Linked DNA regions of Oryzias latipes. The protein of the gene in region 2 purifies or fractionates together with the protein of the main gene of each other region. This does not show direct contact. Links are inferred from orthologs where the notes say so. Each region holds a gene or a part of one and is shown on either strand. Other genes may lie near its edges. The genes, in order: bcl7b, probable global transcription activator SNF2L2, ss18, hdac2 and CCAAT/enhancer-binding protein beta.

The links.
Region 1: the proteins of probable global transcription activator SNF2L2 (region 2) and bcl7b purify together in Homo sapiens (affinity purification with mass spectrometry; 3 studies listed by BioGRID, with this or other methods). This does not show direct contact. The link is inferred for Oryzias latipes from reciprocal best matches to the Homo sapiens genes SMARCA2 and BCL7B.
Region 3: the proteins of probable global transcription activator SNF2L2 (region 2) and ss18 purify together in Homo sapiens (affinity purification with mass spectrometry; 6 studies listed by BioGRID and IntAct, counting the BioPlex papers as one, with this or other methods). This does not show direct contact. The link is inferred for Oryzias latipes from reciprocal best matches to the Homo sapiens genes SMARCA2 and SS18.
Region 4: the proteins of probable global transcription activator SNF2L2 (region 2) and hdac2 purify together in Homo sapiens (affinity purification with western blotting; 4 studies listed by BioGRID, with this or other methods). This does not show direct contact. The link is inferred for Oryzias latipes from reciprocal best matches to the Homo sapiens genes SMARCA2 and HDAC2.
Region 5: the proteins of probable global transcription activator SNF2L2 (region 2) and CCAAT/enhancer-binding protein beta purify together in Homo sapiens (affinity purification with western blotting; 5 studies listed by BioGRID and IntAct, with this or other methods). This does not show direct contact. The link is inferred for Oryzias latipes from reciprocal best matches to the Homo sapiens genes SMARCA2 and CEBPB.

The regions. Positions count from the first base shown.
Region 1 is NC_019871.2:22,450,613-22,454,727, reverse strand, and holds the start of bcl7b (B-cell CLL/lymphoma 7 protein family member B), read right to left. Parts: upstream 2,845-4,115; 5' UTR 2,796-2,844; coding exon 2,683-2,795; intron 2,218-2,682; coding exon 2,142-2,217; intron 2,062-2,141; coding exon 1,974-2,061; intron 1,844-1,973; coding exon 1,685-1,843; intron 1,067-1,684; coding exon 963-1,066; intron 236-962; coding exon 155-235; 3' UTR 1-154. UniProt on the Homo sapiens protein: Positive regulator of apoptosis. Plays a role in the Wnt signaling pathway, negatively regulating the expression of Wnt signaling components CTNNB1 and HMGA1.
Region 2 is NC_019867.2:1,047,574-1,051,160, reverse strand, and holds part of probable global transcription activator SNF2L2, read left to right. Parts: intron 1-1,106; coding exon 1,107-1,280; intron 1,281-1,365; coding exon 1,366-1,539; intron 1,540-1,863; coding exon 1,864-2,034; intron 2,035-2,345; coding exon 2,346-2,396; intron 2,397-2,639; coding exon 2,640-2,770; intron 2,771-3,587. UniProt on the Homo sapiens protein: ATPase involved in transcriptional activation and repression of select genes by chromatin remodeling (alteration of DNA-nucleosome topology).
Region 3 is NC_019875.2:25,752,079-25,755,665, reverse strand, and holds part of ss18 (protein SSXT), read left to right. Parts: intron 1-2,147; coding exon 2,148-2,278; intron 2,279-2,699; coding exon of another isoform or gene 2,700-2,717; exon of another isoform or gene 2,718-2,762; intron 2,763-3,587. UniProt on the Homo sapiens protein: Appears to function synergistically with RBM14 as a transcriptional coactivator. Isoform 1 and isoform 2 function in nuclear receptor coactivation. Isoform 1 and isoform 2 function in general transcriptional coactivation.
Region 4 is NC_019882.2:21,613,911-21,618,293, reverse strand, and holds the start of hdac2 (histone deacetylase 2), read right to left. Parts: upstream 2,853-4,383; 5' UTR 2,733-2,852; coding exon 2,678-2,732; intron 479-2,677; coding exon 366-478; intron 189-365; coding exon 71-188; intron 1-70. UniProt on the Homo sapiens protein: Histone deacetylase that catalyzes the deacetylation of lysine residues on the N-terminal part of the core histones (H2A, H2B, H3 and H4).
Region 5 is NC_019865.2:21,871,251-21,874,583, forward strand, and holds CCAAT/enhancer-binding protein beta, read right to left. Parts: upstream 2,063-3,333; 5' UTR 1,867-2,062; coding exon 1,006-1,866; 3' UTR 534-1,005; downstream 1-533. UniProt on the Homo sapiens protein: Important transcription factor regulating the expression of genes involved in immune and inflammatory responses. Also plays a significant role in adipogenesis, as well as in the gluconeogenic pathway, liver regeneration, and hematopoiesis.

The DNA.
Region 1 (4,115 bases), on a different chromosome or scaffold from region 2:
TTCATAACAGTTTAAAAAGTCTCAGCTGAACTGTAATGAGTAATACTTGCATAAACATGTAAAAAGAAACCCATCATAATTCTGAAAATGTTGTTAATTTCCCAACATCCAAGCAGGTTTCTTATGCATTACGGACAAAAAGGTGGTACAAAAGCTATCTCAGCGCTGCATTTTCCCCTTTGCAAATCCTCTTCAAAGGCGGTGCCCCCGATTCATCTACCGGTAGGTCCTCCTGCTGGACAAGAGTACAAGTTAGACATGTCAGCTTCTATTTACACCTCAAAACTTATCAGGACATAACTAACTCGACGTGAAATGGGATACAGTGTCCCCTCGTTTATCGCTGCGATAGATGAAATCCACAGAGTAGCATTACAGATGTTTCAAGGCTGGAATGCCTACTATACCACTTTACTATACCAAAGACTTTAAAAATGGGACCCAATGCCTCCCTGCTTGACACTCAACATTAAGGGGTTGGCTTGGACCACCCGAGCGCGGCTCGTCGGCAGCTCACCGCTCCCCCAGGGGATGGGTCAAATGCGGAAAACAAATTTCCCACACCTAGGTGTGTGACAGATAGTGGGACTTTATCTTTATTTTACACTTTATACTATTTTCTCAGACAGAAATGAACATTTTCCCAGTTTTTTTCTCTTGCTTAAACTCTCAAAGTTCAAACCTTCCCAGAAAAGTATGTAAAGGATCATAGACGGAAAGCAAACATCTGATCACAATTGAAGATTTGTGCCCATTTTTCAAACAGACTGCTTAGGAGATAGTGCATGGAGGAGATTGATTGACCGTTGTCAAGAGCCAATGAGGGGGCAGAACACGATACGCTGTTAGAAAGAACAACACGCAGAATTACACTCTTTTATTCCAAGCGCAATATACTAAGGGGACCACTGTATTTCATGAAGATGTGCTTGAGTTTGTCTTGGAAGCTGTCGAAGAGAAACCTGTATATCTGAAGCTCCCCGTTTGATGGCTCCAGATGAGAGAGGGTCCTCTTTAATAAGAGTAGGTGGCTCATCTGCACCTTCCTGTCCCAAATGGACTGGTTCTGCATCAAGAGAGAGAAGACACTGTGTCATTAAGTTAGGAAGAGATTTTGTTTTTATTCATTTAAAGTCATCTTCTGATCTATTTTCAGTGTTCCCAGTGGTCTTTTAATTATTATTATGCTATTTTTAGCCACACACACAAAAAAAAAAACTTGTATTGTTTCTTAGGAGAGTTTCTGCAGAGCAGCAGCAGTTCATTAGGAATTCTTCTGAGTTGTGGGCGGGACCACTGGCGCAGAGTAATTTCCCATCATCTCCTTTGTTTACACTCACTCCCAGTAGCTTACAGCCCCCTACAACCCCAACAAAACATTACAGGTGAAACTGGTGAGCAACATTGGAGCATCCAGCCAGCTTGGACAAGGAGAACAAAGGCGAACATGGATATGATTGTGGATGCATCGAAATGGAGCAGAGCAGGGAGCTTTATCCTCCACCACTTTTTTTTTTTTTATCTGCTCCTGATTCACAGTTTGAATAAAAAAATACTCAGAAATGCAGTTTTAAGCTATAATTGTTTATACATGGCCATCATCAGAAAAATGCAACAAGAACATGTTAGAAACACCAAAAACAGGATTTTAATGACAGTTCTGGACATGGTTTTATTTACATACCATCCACACTCTCCTGGCCCAGCATGGGCGGCTGGGAGTCCTCCGCTCGGAGGCTGAAGGTATGCGGGGGGCTGACCTGCTGGGAGCTGGAGTTGCTGCTGCTGTTGTCCATTTTTGGTTGATAAACGTCTGACATGAAGCTTTGATTGCTGTTGTCATCTAAGAGCAGACGTTTGGAACAATCATGAAACCCTTGGAATGGAGGATCACTTTGATCTGGTTAAATCAAACCCAATTGATCCAAGATATGAATGATAAAGAAAATGTTCTTTAGGAATCCTCAGGCTACCTGTGAAATCCAGCAAAGAGTTGGTGTTTTCCAGAACCACATCCTTCAGTCCCCTAACGTCTCCACCCGTAGATTTGGTCCGAAAGATCTGGAAAGAGGATGAAACCCATCAGGAGGATGCAGGTCGTGACACAGGTCTCTGTGTGTTTTATTGACTGAGGCTCACACCTGTTTCGTTTCAGTGACTGGAACCCACTTGAATATGCGCAGGGACGTGTCTCCAACCGTCACCCATTTCTTCTCCCTGAGGAGAAATGTACGTTGGATCATGGGGAAATCTCCTAGCAGCTGCTAGATTTCAGGGCGTCGTAATAATAATAGAGAAATGAACGCATTTATTAGTCACGCGTGTTTTCATAGTCCGGTGCAGCGGAGCTAATATCTGATCAAAACCCTCTACTTCTCCGTGCACAGCAGAATGGAGGAAATTCAATGTAACGCGTTAGTGTCTGATTTCCACAGCAATGCAGCTCTCAGGAGGCTCGCCGACTTCTCAAGCCGCCGCATGTGAAGCTGCTGGAGCCATATTGACAGCTGTCGGCGGAAAAACTCAACTAGCCCCGCCTCCTCTGTCAAACGGGCGCGCTGGTTGGTCGAAAGCCTTGTCAATCATCCAACTTTCCCGACTGAAGTTTGTTGAGCTACGCAGCAAGATATCGCGCCGCGGTCTCGATTTTCATGCCCTTTTTGCGCCGCGCAGTTTACATACCATTTGCGCACTTTCTCGATGGCCGCCAGGACCTTTTTGATGTCGTCTTTGGCCCGACTTCGGGTCTCAGCGCGGCCTGATCGTCCAGACATCTTGATCCCGTTATGATTCATCTACCGATGCATCTGAAACTTCAAGCCCCGATCCTCCCAGAGGGATAAATCTCGCGATACTTGGACCTCCTCGTTTTCTGTAATCTTGAGGTTTTGTGCTCAGTCATGTACCGATAATGTAAGTTATAGTGTGTTCGAAGTGCGTGGGATAGTTTTGAACGTTTCAGGAAATAATAAAATATGTACGAAGCCCTGTACATGGCACAAAAAAGACCAATGGTTCCCTCAAATTAATAATTTGTGGCCTCGGATTAGCTAATTAGAAATTTGTGCACACAACACCAATTTGTGCATGTAGATGTGCGTACATCATGATGTTATTTTGTAAACACAAAATGTTAATTTGTGTGTAATAAATGCTCATTTGCGCACACAAACTAGGCCTACTCATTTACGCCCACCGAGTGTTGTAAAAATACCAACTTGTGCCCACAAAATATAAATTTGTGTCCACAAATTGTGAAGACAAAATACTATTTGTGTCCACAAAGTGCGAATTTGTGCACACAAAGTAGCAGTTTATGCCCACAAATTCTCATTTGTGGGCACAAAATGCTAATAAATTGCAACTTGTGCACACAAAATACGAATTTTGAGAAGATAAGAACATGTTCATACAGAATGCTAATATGTGACCACCAAATGCCAATTTAATGCCAATTTGTTTGCTCAAAATACTCATTTGTGTCCAAAAAATTCTAATTTGTGTGCACTAAATACTAATTTTGTGTACACAGCAAACTTGTATGCACAAAATACAAATTTGGTGCAAACCAAATGCATACATTGCCCATAAAATCCTTTTTCGTGCCCACAAAATGCTAATGAAATGCTAATTTGTTTGCACAAAACTAATTTGTTCTCATAAAATGCTAAGTTGTTATAACGGAAGGCTAATTTGTGGCCACAAAACGCTACTGTCCGACTACAATTTGCCAGTTTGTACATTTGTGCAAATGCTAATTTGTGTGCAAAAAATAGTAATAAAATGCTTATTTGTACACACAAAATGCTACCTTCAAACTTGTGTACTAACCTTTTTCCTATTAATGCTACTTTGTGCCCACAACAAATGTTTAGAAAATGCTGATTTGTGGCCATGAATTACCAAAATGTGGCTTCAAAATGCTAATTTGTGCACACAAAATACAAATTCATGGCCACAAATGATTATTTTGAGGGAAGATGTTTTCTAACATGTCCAGAGCTACGTAAATATGACCCTGTTAGAAAATACACGAGGACGCGTGTTATAAATATAAATAAATATGTGTTTGTCTGTGTTCAAATATTTAAATCTACAATTAAACCTCACAGAAA
Region 2 (3,587 bases):
GCTGACGCTGAAACAGTGTAAAAATGAAACAGGCTGACGCTGAATCAGTGTAACTATGAAACAGGCTGACGCTGAAACAGTGAAACTATGAAACTGGCTGACGCTGAAACAGTGTTACTATGAAACAGGCTGACGCTGAAACAGTTTAGCTATGAAACAGTCTGACGCTGAAACAGTGAAACTATGAAACAGGCTGACGCTGAAACAGTGTAACTATGAAACCGGCTGATGCTGAATCAGTTTAAATATGAAACAGGCTGACGCTGAAACAGTGTAACAATGAAACAGGCTGACGCTGAAACAGTGTTACTATGAAACAGGCTGACGCTGAAAGAGTGTAACTATGAAACAGGCTGACACTGAAACAGTGTAACAATGAAACAAGCTGACGCCGAAACAGTGTAACTATGAAACAGGCTGATGCTGAATCAGTCTAACTATTAAACAGGCTGACGCTGAAACAGTGTAACAATGAAACAGGATGACGCTGAAACAGTGTTACTATGAAACAGGCTGACACTGAAACAGTGTAACAATGAAACAAGCTGACGCCGAAACAGTGTAACTATGAAACAGGCTTACGCTGAAACAATGTTACTATGAAACAGGCTGACGCTGAAACAGTTTAACTATGAAACAGGCTGATGCTGAAACAGTGTTACTATAAAACAGGCTGACGCTGAAACAGTGTTACTATGAAACAGGCGGACGCTGAAACAGTGTAACTATGAAACAGGCTGATGCTGAAACAGTCTAACTATGAAACACGCTGACGCTAAAGCAGGCTGACACTGAAACAGTGTTACTATGAAACAGGCTGACGCTGAAACAGTGAAACTATGAAACAGGCTGACGCTGAAACAGTGTTACTATGAAACAGGCGGACGCTGAAACAGTGTAACTATGAAACAGGCTGATGCTGAAACAGTCTAACTATGAAACACGCTGACGCTAAAGCAGGCTGACACTGAAACAGTGTTACTATGAAACAGGCTGACGCTGAAACAGTGTAACTATGAAACAGGCTGATGCTGAAACAGGGTAAAGAAGTCTTGTAGAATCAGAATTCTGAAGTCAGTCTTAACTTGAGGTGTGCTTTGCTGAAGCTGAGGCAGGACGTGGTGGCGTGCATGAGGCGGGACACCACCCTGGAGACGGCGCTCAACTCGAAAGCTTACCGACGCAGCAAGCGGCAGACTCTGAGGGAGGCCCGCATGACGGAGAAGCTGGAGAAGCAGCAGAAGCTGGAGCAGGAGAAGAAGCGCAGGCAGAAACACCAGGTGATCGACGCTGGCGTGCACCGGCCCGTGGCCGCCACGAGCTCCTGGGTTTGTCACCTTCATGATGCGCTTTGTGTTCTTTCAGGAATACCTCAACAGCATTCTGCAGCATGCCAAGGACTTCAAAGAGTATCACCGCTCGGTTTCCGGCAAAATCCAGAAAATCACCAGATCCGTTGCCACGTGGCACACTAACACGGAGCGGGAGCAGAAGAAGGAGACGGAGAGGATCGAGAAGGAGAGGATGAGGAGGCTGATGGTGAGGAGTCATGTGGACTTCAGTCCATGTCAGAAACGGAAACCTTGTTTGCATGGCGGCCATCTTTGTTTGAAAGAATCCATGATCAAAGCGATGTTCTGTTGGAAGAGACACGCCCACTGTGGAAAGCTTTCATTCAGCGTGAAGTTCAGTCTGTGATGGAAATGAGGCTGGAAAAGCAAAGATTATTGCTCTGTAACTGTTCCACTGAGGAGAAGCCATGAAACAAACAAGGAAGAGAGGAATAGAAGACAATTACGAAAAGAGTTTCTCATGAGGGTTCAGCCTGATACCGTTCTGACCTTCTGTTGCTGTCTCTTCCAGGCTGAGGATGAGGAGGGGTACAGAAAACTGATTGATCAGAAGAAAGACAAGCGTCTGGCCTACCTGCTGCAGCAGACGGATGAATATGTGGCCAACCTCACTGCTCTGGTTTACGAGCATAAGGCTGCTCAGGCTGCCAAGGAGAAGAAGAGGAAGAAGAAGAGAAAGAAGGTATGACGAAGAGGCTCACGTTGGTCCCTCACTGTATGTTTCTGTTGCAGGTGGACGCCCTGCTGGTGTTCAGATCTTTGAATTCTTTCCCCGCTTGTTGCAGCAGAGCCCCCGACTTTCAGTACTAAAAGCAAAACATCATCTGGATATATTTCCTCTAGTTTTGTCAGGAAACCCCCAACGCGCTCTCTGGTTTCTATGAAGCTCAGCTTTCAGTCGTTCATATTTTTAAATCAAAGTTTGTTTGCTTGCTCTTAAAAAGGTGAATCTTTGATGTGATCAAACTGCTGATGTCTGTGTGGTCTGTGCAGAAGGTGGACGGAGACGGTGAAGGCACCAGCGCCTTTGGACTGGATGGAGAGGTGTGCTGCTAATGCTTCTTTTCTGCATGGGGGGGTTGAAAATAGCGTCAGGAAAGCAGCGTTTCTCCTTCCAGACGGCGTCTCAGCCCCAGAGGAGGCCATGATGGCACCTTTTAGGAAGACCAGTGCCTCCCTGTGATCTAAGATTCAGGCGTTAAAATGTGGGGTTGGGGAAAACCAGAGGAGGAGGAGGGCTTTGGAGATGAAGGCTCCTCTTTTTTACCTCCTTTTCTTGTCTTGCAGCCCATTGATGAGAGCAGCCAAATGAGCGAGCTTCCTGTCAAAGTGATTCAGACCGAGACCGGGAAGGTCCTACAGGGAACCGACGCCCCCAAGTCCAGCCAGCTGGAGGCTTGGCTGGAGATGAACCCTGGGTGAGACGCTCCACCACTGCAGCTGTAATGATCCAAAATCCCACCCGCCCCCTGCAGAGAAGATTCAGGGGGGTTCTGCTGGCGGGTTTCTGTTAAAAACACGGCTCCTTCAGTCAAAGGAAAAACATTTTGTCTTTGTTTAACCGCACTCGCACAGTTTGAATCTGTCAGCCGCAGGATTTCTCCTGGATAGGAAACCTTCACGGTTCAGTGTTCCCTCGTTTATCGTGGGAGTTACATTCTATACATAACCCACCGTCGGATGGATTCGTTTTTATTTTTACAATAATTCTAGATGTTTTAAGGCTGTTGAACTTATCATTACACTTTTTTCAGACAGACATGAACATTTTCATACTTTTCTCTCTTGTTTAAACTGTCAAACGGCCGGTATTAGAATGAAAACAGAGATCTGATCAAAATTGAAGATTTATGTAGATTTGGAAAAGTGAAAAAGTCTGTACAGGAGACTAATTAACACTAGCCAATGGAAACACTGCACTGTAAAAAAAAACATGTAAAAACTGTAAAAAAAAAAAATCCACGAGACTGCAAAAGGTGAACCGTTATAAAGCAAAGGGAACGCCATTTTCCTGCATTTGATCTTACTTTTGACCTGAAGCTCTTTGTCTTATACCATCGTCTGGATAAATTCTCGATTCTGATTGGCTGCTGTGTTTGCATTAAAAAATGATAATCCACAGTGATATCACCTAAAAAAGTAGTTCCGGTCACAAAGCTTAAATGCTTCTTTAAAACAAACTTTTTCTTCATCTACAGAGAAAAAACTGACAAAGACTTAAAATAATGTTTAGAA
Region 3 (3,587 bases), on a different chromosome or scaffold from region 2:
TAAGTGTGTGGAACTTGCATTATCCTTACAAAAACTTGACAGTACACTTCCCAACACGCAGGGAAATCGTACATTCCGCTCTCATGACATCCCTTAAGATGGCCTCAGGACACACATGTGCTCGCCTTAAGACGCAGCCGCTCCTCTCTACGATCCTCCATCGCCCTGGATAGCCTGTTGCACCTGTACGCGTCAATAGGCTATCCGGGTTTAAGCATTTACTTAAAAAAAACAAAAAAAAGAGTATAGAAATAAACATGATTTAATCAGGATCTGATATCATTTGAAGTGTGGGTTTACTTGCAGGAGCTCTTAAGGGATTTCTCTTTGTGGCAGTTTTCTCTAGAACTTTCTGTCAGTTGCCCTCTTTGTGAGCCAGAGCTGTAGTTATTAATGAGCCAGCTGAGATGCCGAGGCTGTGAGGTGAGATCCATCTGGCACATACACACGCCTGCTCTCTCAGGCTCCCACAAGGTTATGCACAGCAGCATAAGGCATTAGGAGGGCCTAACGATGCTGCGTGGGCCTCATTTGACTTCCACCCAAGTCTAGTTTGCTCGGTCCTTCACAGTATCGGCAAAGATGGCTCCTGTGTACAGAGCTGGATTATAAATAGGTCTCTCTCTCTCTTTATACATATATACATATTTATTTTCTTTAGCTTGTTTTTTTTTTTATGTGTAACTGCTCCCTGACCTCAGTGTGACTCATTTGGTTGCATCCATAACTTGCTAACATGTTTCAGAAGCAGCCTAGGCAAATATTTGATATTCTTCTGTCGGTTGATCCTTGCTATAAAGCAGTGCTTCTCAAATAGTGGGACACGCCGATGCGATGCCAGGAGGGGCGCGCGGTAGTGGCGGTTTTAGGCACAGGTAATACGGGCAAATGTCCGGGGCGCAAATTTAACATGGGGGTGGTGACGACAGCGGCTCAGTGCGAGGAAAAAATCTGCGCCACTATTCGGTTCCTATTGTCTGTTAAATCACACACAGAGTTTGTAACAGCCTGAAACTTTTGAATCCCCGTCCCTGCAGCTGCGCGCTCCCGTCTCCTGTCACACGCGTGTGTGAGAACGAAAGGGGAGGGGTAGTAGGCTCAGGCTGCCAGGTGAAATGGGGCACGCGGAGAGCTGCAAGCACTGCCTGGATTAGCACCACCAGGATCATCACATGCTTTTAGATTACTCAGTTCATGCTAATAATGTCATCCTTCATTAACTGTTATAGATATTTTGATGACATCTTTATTTTTCATAAATGTATTTTTTGTCTGCCTGTCGTTTAGTTGGTGTCAGTATTTGAAATAAAGACAGCAGGTAATGCAGGAAAACCGCTGCACTTTATGAGATCATAAATAAACAATCCATCATTTAGAAAAACATCAGCACAATGTTTTTATCTATCTCTACAGACTAAAAAGGTTAAATATATTGGTGCTGCTCTGTTAATGTTTCAGATCAATTTACATTTAATATTATTGATTGACTAAATTATTTTTCTCAGCATCAAATGGTTCAGTTGGTCAGAATGTTTCTATTTTAAATAAGGACTGATAGATTTTTTTATTTCAGGCACTTTAAGCTTTTTTCTTTTAGACTATAACTGGGTTTCTGTGGCTAAATAAAGTCAATATTTGTTGAAAATTATTTTTATTGCTTTTTTTCTTTTGTTAGTGTTAAAAGATACAACTTTAGGGATACTTACACACATTTTATAGATACTAACCTAATATATTGTCACTTGGGTCAATTTCTCACTTCACCATTCAGAAGAATAAGGCTTCAAAAAGAAAGTAGTGAACATGGTGTCCGAATTGCTTTTATTGTTGGAGCATTATGGGTACTGTAGTCAGGTTTCTCACTGAGTGATGCATACTGTCCTTCAACTGTCTGTGAATGAGTTGAATAAAGTTTACTTCTAACTTTATAGTCACTTATATTAAAAGCTTGTTGTTTTTCTTTAACCAGGGATCCACAACGGAGGTGGAAAAGTCACGTTTAGACCCCTATTTTAGCTGAACAACTAGTCCTTTGGTTCAGACTGACAAAATTAAGACTTTTGGTTTATCAGAAATGGAATGTGTTGGTTTTTCAGTTAGCCGTCCTTTTAAGAGCGCCACCTTACATCTGTTTGTGCTCACTTTAGGCCCCTCCCAAAGTGCTCCGGGACAGTACCCTAACTATCCGCAGGGGCAGGGCCAACAGTATGGGGGCTACCGTCCTCCCCAGCCCGGACCCCCTCAGGGCCAGCAGCAGCGCCCGTACAGTTACGACCAGGTGAGTATAGCAGCAGTCACCGGATTGTTTGGAATTCCGATTTTCTTACAAATTAAACAAGTTTATTGCCAGAAAAAATGCTTTTCTAGCTCTCAGTGAAACCACAGACAATGAAGTTTAAAGTCAAGAATCATGTTGTGTTATGCATGCAAACATCCTATTGGGTGGTTGAGTCTGTTTGTTCCAGAAGATTGTATATGCTGCTGCTGTGTTTGAAATGTTAACCGTAGTGTTGGTTATTTCTTCTGGTTCATGTGGTGTGCCTCCTTTGAAATACCAGGGCTTTAAATAGGATTCTTCCTTAAACTTGAGTCAGTTTGCTCCATTGTTTAAAGTGCAATCCGTTTTCTGCCCTGTATTTCCCATGGTCTTCTGTGGGGACCAGAGCTACACGTTGATATCTTTATCTTTGAACATTCAGGGGCACATGAGGAAATAAGGAAGCGGGGATTTGAACCCCTGACTAGCTCTGTAAGAAGCAAAGGTAATGGTTGCTGTGAAGACCTCAGGGTCCAATCTAGACACTTGACCACCTAGAGTTAATTTGCATTTTCTAATGTTTCTTCTATCTGTCCTCTTCTTCTCTTTTTTTATTTTTTGATTCAACCTTTTTTAAGTTCTTCCATTTCTGTTTAACTCTACTGTTGTTGTTTTAACCAGGGGTCGAATTGTCAGAAATGAGGTCCCAAAACAAAAGCATGCGTAGTCTGTAGTGAGACGTCTCCTCAAACTTTAACACTCGACGAACAATGTGCTTGTGATGAAGCTGCGATTGTTGGGGTGTAGCGGTACATGTGATCTCCTCAAAACTGGGGCTCCAGGTGATGCGCCTGTGCTGCCAAACAAATATCTTGCCTCTCAATTTAGTTCCCATTTGTTTTTGCACAATCTAAACATTTAGTAATTTAAATTTCTACAAAACAAAATTTTCAGCTATTCTTTTGTGATTTTGAGTATTTTCAGGGACAAAAATTCAAATATTGTGATTTCATTAATGAAAAGGACAAACCAGCAGTGCTTTGTCTAGCTTTTTCAAATGATTGAAGTTAATCATGAATGTTTATTTTTAATTGTAAGGGTTTTCCTACCGTAGTTGTTTTTGAGTTGACTGGAAGTAGTTTAAGAGTACTTTTAAGGAAACAATGCAAAGTTAAGGCACCTAAGATGATCAACAGTCAAAAACATCTTTACTTTATGAAAAGTCTGATTTAATTTTATTTTTTTAATCAAAGACCTGACGGAAATTGATACTAAATTGTAAAATTGTGTGTACTGTTACACCCCTAAAAATCATTCAATGATATCTTCT
Region 4 (4,383 bases), on a different chromosome or scaffold from region 2:
CTTCACTTGACTTGTATCCTGTACAAAATGCTTCCTTAAGTTTGTCTGAACGTCAACAGAGCCCACTCACAGCGCTGCATCTGCTTGCTGAACTCGGACATGTTGTCTGGCCGTATGGATCTGAGGAACTTGATGTAGTCGTCACTGTGGTATTTGGTCATCTCGTCTGCGGTGGCTTTGTGTGGCCTCTGAAACCAGGAGAAAGGTGGAAGGGAAGAAACCAGAACTGAATGAAAGCAGGAGCGAACACAGAACTAAGAGCAAACCGCCAAGCTAAATCGACGTTTCCTAATGTCTGAAGTCTGCTGAGGATCAGGTCACATGGAGACACGCTCCTCACAGCAACAGAGCACAGGAAAACATACATAGATCTCCATTTTTCTGTAGAGGCCATAGTTCAGGAGGAGGTTGTGAGTCATGCGGATCCGATGTGGCTTCATGGGGTGTCCTTGTCCATAATAGTAGTTTCCAACATCACCTAGACACAAGAAAAACACAAAATCAATGATGCAGATTGCCAACATTAGCTCCACCAGCTTTTCTGATTCAACTGTTGGCATCTGTGTTGTTCCAACAGAGAACATGAGCAGCAAACGACAGAGGAAGACAACTCAGAGCACTGATCTGTGGAACAACCGAAGCTTCAGAACGATGACTCACATCCTCACCGTTATTTATTACTGCTCAGTAAACAAACCAGGAACAGTTTACAGCAGACAGAAAACGGGACTGATCCCTGTCCAACAAACTGGACCCTCCCAACCAAAATGTACTCTGACATCTCATAATGTCAGTTTATTCTTTACATTATGATTTCAGTCAGATTATTAAAATATGAAACCGCTCTAAACAAGTGCCAGTTCTAATGGGCTGAACTTTTATGACACTTATGTTCACGAAGATCTACATCTGCATCAGTAATCTAGTCATTTCAAAGTGATGTGCACGTCATTAGTGCACGTGGGACTGCTCTAAGCTAAATGTGACCGCAGAAAAAGGTGAAGTGAATTGCTTAAATGAACATGGTGTTTTTAACACGTTCTGGCAGCATTATTCTGAATATGAAGAAAATTAAACAGAAAATTGAATTTCCGAGTATTTCTTTGTTCAAACTGTTGTGAGTCAGGAGCGGATAAAAAATATGCAGTTGGGAATAGCTATAAGCAAGCCCCAAGCTCCCTGTTCTGTTCCACTCTAAAGGCCTGTTCACACCGGGACGAATTTCGCCGGCGATTTTCGCCGACGTTTAACGCCTCGTGACTAAACAAAGGGCACCAACGAGAGTGTGCACATCGACGCGAAAAAACGCCAGGCGTTAAAGCGTCCAAAAAAAAACGCCTCGGGTTCGTTTTTTTTTTCCGACGAAATCTACTCGACCAATGAGAACGGCGCTTTTGCTCACGTGTCTGGAGCTTCTGAAGTTACAGTAAAACACAACTTGGGGGCGCTCAAACACAAAACTGCCTTGCTGAGCACACATACCAGCGAAGAAGATAGACGCCAAGTAGCGTCTACACAGCCGCGAAGCAATAATGACGGACATTCTAAAACATCCCCGAACCAAGCACCAGTTGGAGCTACTGGTGCTTGAAATATTCATGTTTTCTTTGTTTGATTCTGACAAGCGTGTAAAAACTTGCTCTCTTCTTCTGAGTGAAAAGCGACTTTAAGAAGCGTAAAGTTGCGCAGCGCCACCTTGTGTACAGGAGTATTTCAGTTTTACATTAAGCGCCATCTAATGTCAGGGAATGAAATTGCATGTTCACTCCACTCATCGTCAGCGAAAATCGCCTGGGTGTGAACACAAAAAACGTGGCGAAAAACGCTGGCGAATAACGCCTGGCGAATATTCGTCCCGGTGTGTACGGGCCTTAAGGCATCCACCTGCAGACTAATGGATCCATGAACGTCTTTGTTTTCCTCGTCTGAGCTGGAATCGGGATAGATCTGATATTGGCCATCTTTTTTGTTGCACTGCTAATGTGAGGATGGGGTTGTGAGGGGCTGTAAGCTAGTGGTAGAGTAGAGTGTAAACGGGGGGGGGGGGGGGGGGTGCTCTGCATCAACAGTCCCACCCACAACTCAGAGGTTAATGCTCTGCAGAAACTATGTCCCAGAAAACAACACAGGTTTTTGATTTAAAAAAAAATAATAACTTAAAGCGATCGGACACGCTTGTGTTTGGACCTGAACGCAGGTTTAGAGCCACCCGGGGCTTCTGCAGACGGTCACGTGACGTGTAGGTGAGCCAGGCCGCGCGTGCTCGTCTGGAAGCAGTAGAGGCTGCCAGTCGTGTGTTCTGTGGATGGTTGCATTGTGGGACGGCAACCTCGTTAAAGACGTTAAAAGCTTTTCTCCTCATACGTTCCCGGATGTGGGTTCTCCTCGGTGGGATCTTGAAAGATCACAACAGAACGCCGGCTGAACTGCCTGGGTCTCAAACAAGACTGACGTACGTAGCCGTAACTCACACAACGAGGGGTGGAGACAGACGTGAGGCGCCGGCTACTTAACGTACAGTGCCCCCCTCAGATGTTGGCTTTACACCGTTTCAATGAAGCAGAAAAGACTTTAGCCCCGGAGAAATGAGTTCCGACCGTAACTGACCGATGCTAGCACATGCTCGATGCTAACAGCTAGCGTTAGCCTGGCTCGTGCGCCACACAGCAGCTCTTACCGTCGTAGTAGTAGCAGACCTTCTTCTTAGTTCCACCTGCAACCGTGTACGCCATGCTACAAGCTCCTTTAGCTCCACAGGTGAGGCTCAATTCGCGTTAACAGAAAGACAAGAGCTGGATGGAGAACATCTGCACGGCGTCGCTGAGTGGGAGGGGCTACGTGGGCTGGGCGGGGCAAGGTTGGGCTCCGCCCCTGCGCCCCACTTTAAGTTTCTTTGTCCTTGTTCTTTTGTTTTGCGTCTTTGGGGCAGGGCATCAACACATGATATGTGGATTGCCAGTTCTGTCTGTGGTAGTCTAGCCATGCCACCAGGAGATCATTTTAGTACAAGACTCTGCAACCTTCTACCCCAGTTTGAGCCTCTTCCTTCTGACAGACTCAGAGTCGCACAGCCCCACTTCACACTCAATTCATGCTTCAGGCACGTGAAAATCTCCTTTATCTGGACTTTGCTTTGCACTGTTGAACCTTATTTAAATTTGTTCTTCACCTCTGCTTCTTCAACTCCTCCCTCAAAGCCACAAAGCCCTTTTTTTTTTACTTACACCACTTGGTCCTCTGCTCTGGCCTTGTCCTCGTCTATGGAGTGATTTATGTGTCCCATTATTCCAAGCGTACTTGAAATACTTGAAATATTTTGTGTGCTCAAAAATATTTTGCACTTGAAACATAAAAATGCACTTGAGACTCAAAAATAAGTGCAAACAAAACAGTTTTACTCTTGAAACCTAAAAATATGTCCAATCAAAACAATTCTCTATGTGTCACAAAAGCCAGTTAATCACAGACATGGGCATAAAGTTTGATGCCGATTGGTCAGAAATTCTTCCAATCGCACACAGACCTGATCCAGTCTACGAGCCGTCTAAAGTCTACAGTTTTTGGGTTTTCTGGCCCGTCAAGAGTCGTAGAGAGGAGTGGCTGCTCCTTAAGATGTCTTGTAGTTCCCTTGAGGCTTGCACAACCACCTTAAAGGTTATTGTTTTGCATTTCGTAAGTACATGGTGAAGTATTTGTTAGGATAATGGAAGTTACAAACTGATGAGGTATGGGTGTTCTTGCTCAGGGGGGCGGAAAAAATGAAAAATCAACATGAAATGCCTGTGTCTTACATACTTCACCTGTGCCTGCCGTTGTGTGTTGTTAAAGTACCTGACGACCTGCCGCCCGCACCAGCCCGTAGAAAAACTGAGCATGAACATTCACTGAGTGGTCTACAATCTTGAAATTTCGTGCGGGCCGCCTGCTTGTCTCATACAGATTTGGCCCTTTTTCATCTGCAGACAGCCCGTGCCCACCCCTAAGAGCAGTTGGGACTAAGGCTTTAGCTTTCTCTTCTCAGCATCTACAGTCAAACTGGAGATTATTCATCCAATCAGGCAATTTGGGCTAAAAGATACTTTATTCCATCAGCAAGTTTCTTCTTTGTTGGAAATAATACAGATGTTAACCAGGAGCAGAACATTTTGCACTTGACTTGTCAGTCAAGCTGTAGCTCATGAAATCTCTTTTGCCACTGTGGTAGTACTTTCCAGAAAAAAAAAAATCTTAGAAAATACATAAAAGATTAGAAACCATGAGGAATACATGTTCATTTATCGCTCTTGGTTTTCTTAAACCAAGCTTTCATAAAATGTGAATAAGGATGTTTCAATAAAAATGGATTGGATGTTTCCAAACACTCAAAGTGCTTACAACATGTAT
Region 5 (3,333 bases), on a different chromosome or scaffold from region 2:
GACTCTTTTCTGCCCTCTCAGCAGTATCATTTCAGCATAAATGGGTTTGATTTATTTTAGGACCCTTGGGAGAATGCGTCAATTATTTAAAATAAACAGAAACGAAAATGAACCTGTTTAAAAAGAGGAAAAAAAAGAGTGTGAGGAGTTAGGTTGTGTTTTGTGTAAAAGGTTATCTGCAAGAGATGTTTGTTTTAAGTGCAATTTGACAAAAACCAATGACTAAAAAGATTCCAAACTATATTTTTTAAAGCTTTTTAACTACAGAGAACTATATTTTCTACTTTATAATGAAATACGTATGATTAATTAATAACGTTTTGTGCAACAAAGGTTCAAATATTTAAAGGCCTGTAGGATTCTTTTCGTGATTTGTAGTTTATTTTACGCAAACCTGGATTATAAAAACAGCCGTTTTCCTCAACGCAATATGCTGTAACGGATTAAGTGTGAGTCTGAGTGTGAACGCCCATGTCTGTGTGCCTGTCTGCACCCTAAACCTGCGGAGGAAAGGACAGAAAAGAGCGTGCAAATTCCTTTAAACAAAGTATAAATCTATTTAATCCAATGTCAAGTACAATTAAAGCATTTCACCTTTTTAAATCTTAAATAATTAGACTTATTTCATTCATTGCCAATACTATTACAAAGAGTTGCATCATTTCACTGCAGCACAACTCTCCCCGTTGACAGCCATTGCTGCAGACACACACACACACACACACACACACAAAAATCTAGAAATTCAAGGGTATGAATGTATGTATGTAAAACCTGCACAGAAATACTGCATACACAAACATTACATGTGAGGAAAAAGCCACAGTGACATGTAAAGAGTGGTGAACGGTTGCGCAATCCATGCACCCACTTGTTCAGTCTTATTCAGTGTCCATTGTAAACTGGGGATGGCCGCCTTCACCTGTGTACCGTTTGGATCACCGTGCACTCTCCAGTCCACTTGAGGGAGCGGCACAGGGGGGTTCTCTCGTGGGAGGGGGGTACCTAACATTGTCCAGTTGCTGAGAGCAGGTTGCGCAGCGTGGCCAGCTCCCTAGACAGCTGCTCCACGCGCTTTTGTAAACGGTCGTTCTCCGCGGCCAGTTCCAGCACTTTGTGTTGAGTCTCCAAGTTGCGCATTTTGGCTTTGTCCCTGCTCTTCCTCACGGCGAGGTTGTTCCTCTCCCTCCTCAGCTTGTACTCTTCACTGTCCTTGTCCAATCGTTTTTTAGACTTCCCGCTGCTCCCCTTGCCGCCGTGAGACGGTGACCTGCCTTTACCTGAGGGCGCAGGTGTGCCGGGCGGGCTGGAGCAGGTGGAGGACGCAGTGGAGATGTTCCCCAGACTGCTGCTGGTGGACTGGTAATGAAGATAGGACCTCATGTCGAACCCGGACGAGCCGTTCTCCATCTTGGCGTCTTCCAGGTTGTCGTCTCTGTCGGCGGCTGCGGCGGCGGTTCTGTAGCGGCTCAGTTCGGGGCTCAGGACGCTGTCCGCGCGCGTCTCCTGCAGCTCCGAGTAGCCCAGCGAGTAGGGCTGCCGGGGGTCGCACTGGCTCGACTCCAGCTCGCCCAGCAAAGAGTAGTTCCTGTAGCTCTGGAGAGCTGAGACTCTCTTGATCTTGCTCTCCGCCAGAAAGTCAGAGTACGCGTCCCCCTGCGGCTGCGTCTGCGCCGCCAGCTGCGCGCAGTGGAAGGCTGGGTCCAGGTAAACGCTCAGGTCTATCGCTCTCTCCCGCTCCTCAATGCCCAGCTCCGTCATCGAGTCACCGAGCCGCCAGTACGAGCCGCCGACGATGGGACTGATGATACCGTCTCTGCCGTGGATAGCAAAGCTTCCCTCCTCGTACAAGCCGGCCACTTCCATGGATCTGCACTCCCGCCGGACTGCAGGAGCGGGCAGGGCTGAGGTGAGGCGCCCCGAGTTCTTCAAGTTCAGCTGAGTAACTGGAGAAAACGTGTCGGAATGCAGCGAGCTGAAAGCACCCGCGTCACTTCATGTGGCAACAACAAGAAGCAACTTTTTTTTTCTGTGGCGGATTGGGAGGAATTGACAGACCTTCCTGTCTCGAGAGGGTTTTATTCCACAGCGCGGGGGGCGGGGCCTAACAGGGCAGGTGTGACGAGCGGAGCCTGTCAGCGAACAACCTGTTCCACTTTGGAGAACGTTTCCCGCATTCATCTGTTTATGTCGGGACAAACGAAAACCTGAACTTGACTTGTTGTCTATTTAAAGTGAAGTCTTTCATTGTTTGTCAGTAAGCATCAATACAAGTTATTATAAATAATTACTTTGCTCCTTTCTGGACACATTTCCTTAACTCCTGCAGCAGAAAATCACATTCAGTTGTAATCAAAACATCTCTGAACACATTATTTCCAAAACAAAAATGAACAGTTGTGGAAGTGATGCACACATCCCCATCCATCACTGTGCTGGTTTGTGTCAGAAACATTTCACTGTCGTCAAAGACAGATGTGACTGTCTCGTGGGATCAGTGTTATCCCACAACATGACTTCAAGCATGACCCAATGACTCACAGCAAGAACAAAATAGAAGCCTCTCCTGGACAATCATGAGGCCCCAAAAATAAACTGACTCTGAATAAGATCAGATAAGAATTACACGTTTGCTTTAAACGTGCACGTAGATTGAGAAGAAATACCTACAATTTATTTATTGGTGAGAAACTGGTTTGCAAATTGGGATTTACTGCCACCGTGTGGCTAAGAGTATTTAGAAAATTACTTGTCAAGCACTTGTCAATTTGGTGCTTCGAGCATCTTTTGCATATTTTAAGACACGTGTGTGACATTTCTTGTGTGATTTGCTGAAGAAAACAGAGGTAGTCACTTTCCATTTGAAGTCACCATGACTTGCATGTTAGGAAGCGGTCGGTGCAGAATATCATGACAAGACTGTACTGGAGAGAAAAAAAAACTCCAAATGGTATCTAAAGGCTTTTAACATCAGGCCTGGCTGATGTTTGAATATAATCGCACATAAATCAAAGGGATTAAATTGATAATGTATACATTTTTTTGTTGTTTGAGTGAAAAACCTTTTTTTTTGGCTTAAGTTTAATTCTTGCTCCATTAAAACTGCTTTGAAACAGTTTGAAGTTTTCCCTTTGCTTCCAACTTTTCTTCGATGTTTGCATTTTACTTTCAGCTCCCTGTCAGGCAGCTCCATCAAACAGAATGACAGATGACATCTGTAGTGCCTCCATGGGAGTGCTCCCTTCTCTTCCTATAGCGTCACATACAGACAACGTTTTCATCTGAGATGTCATTCTGGATCAGCATTCAAATTTTTCCTGTGACATGTTACAC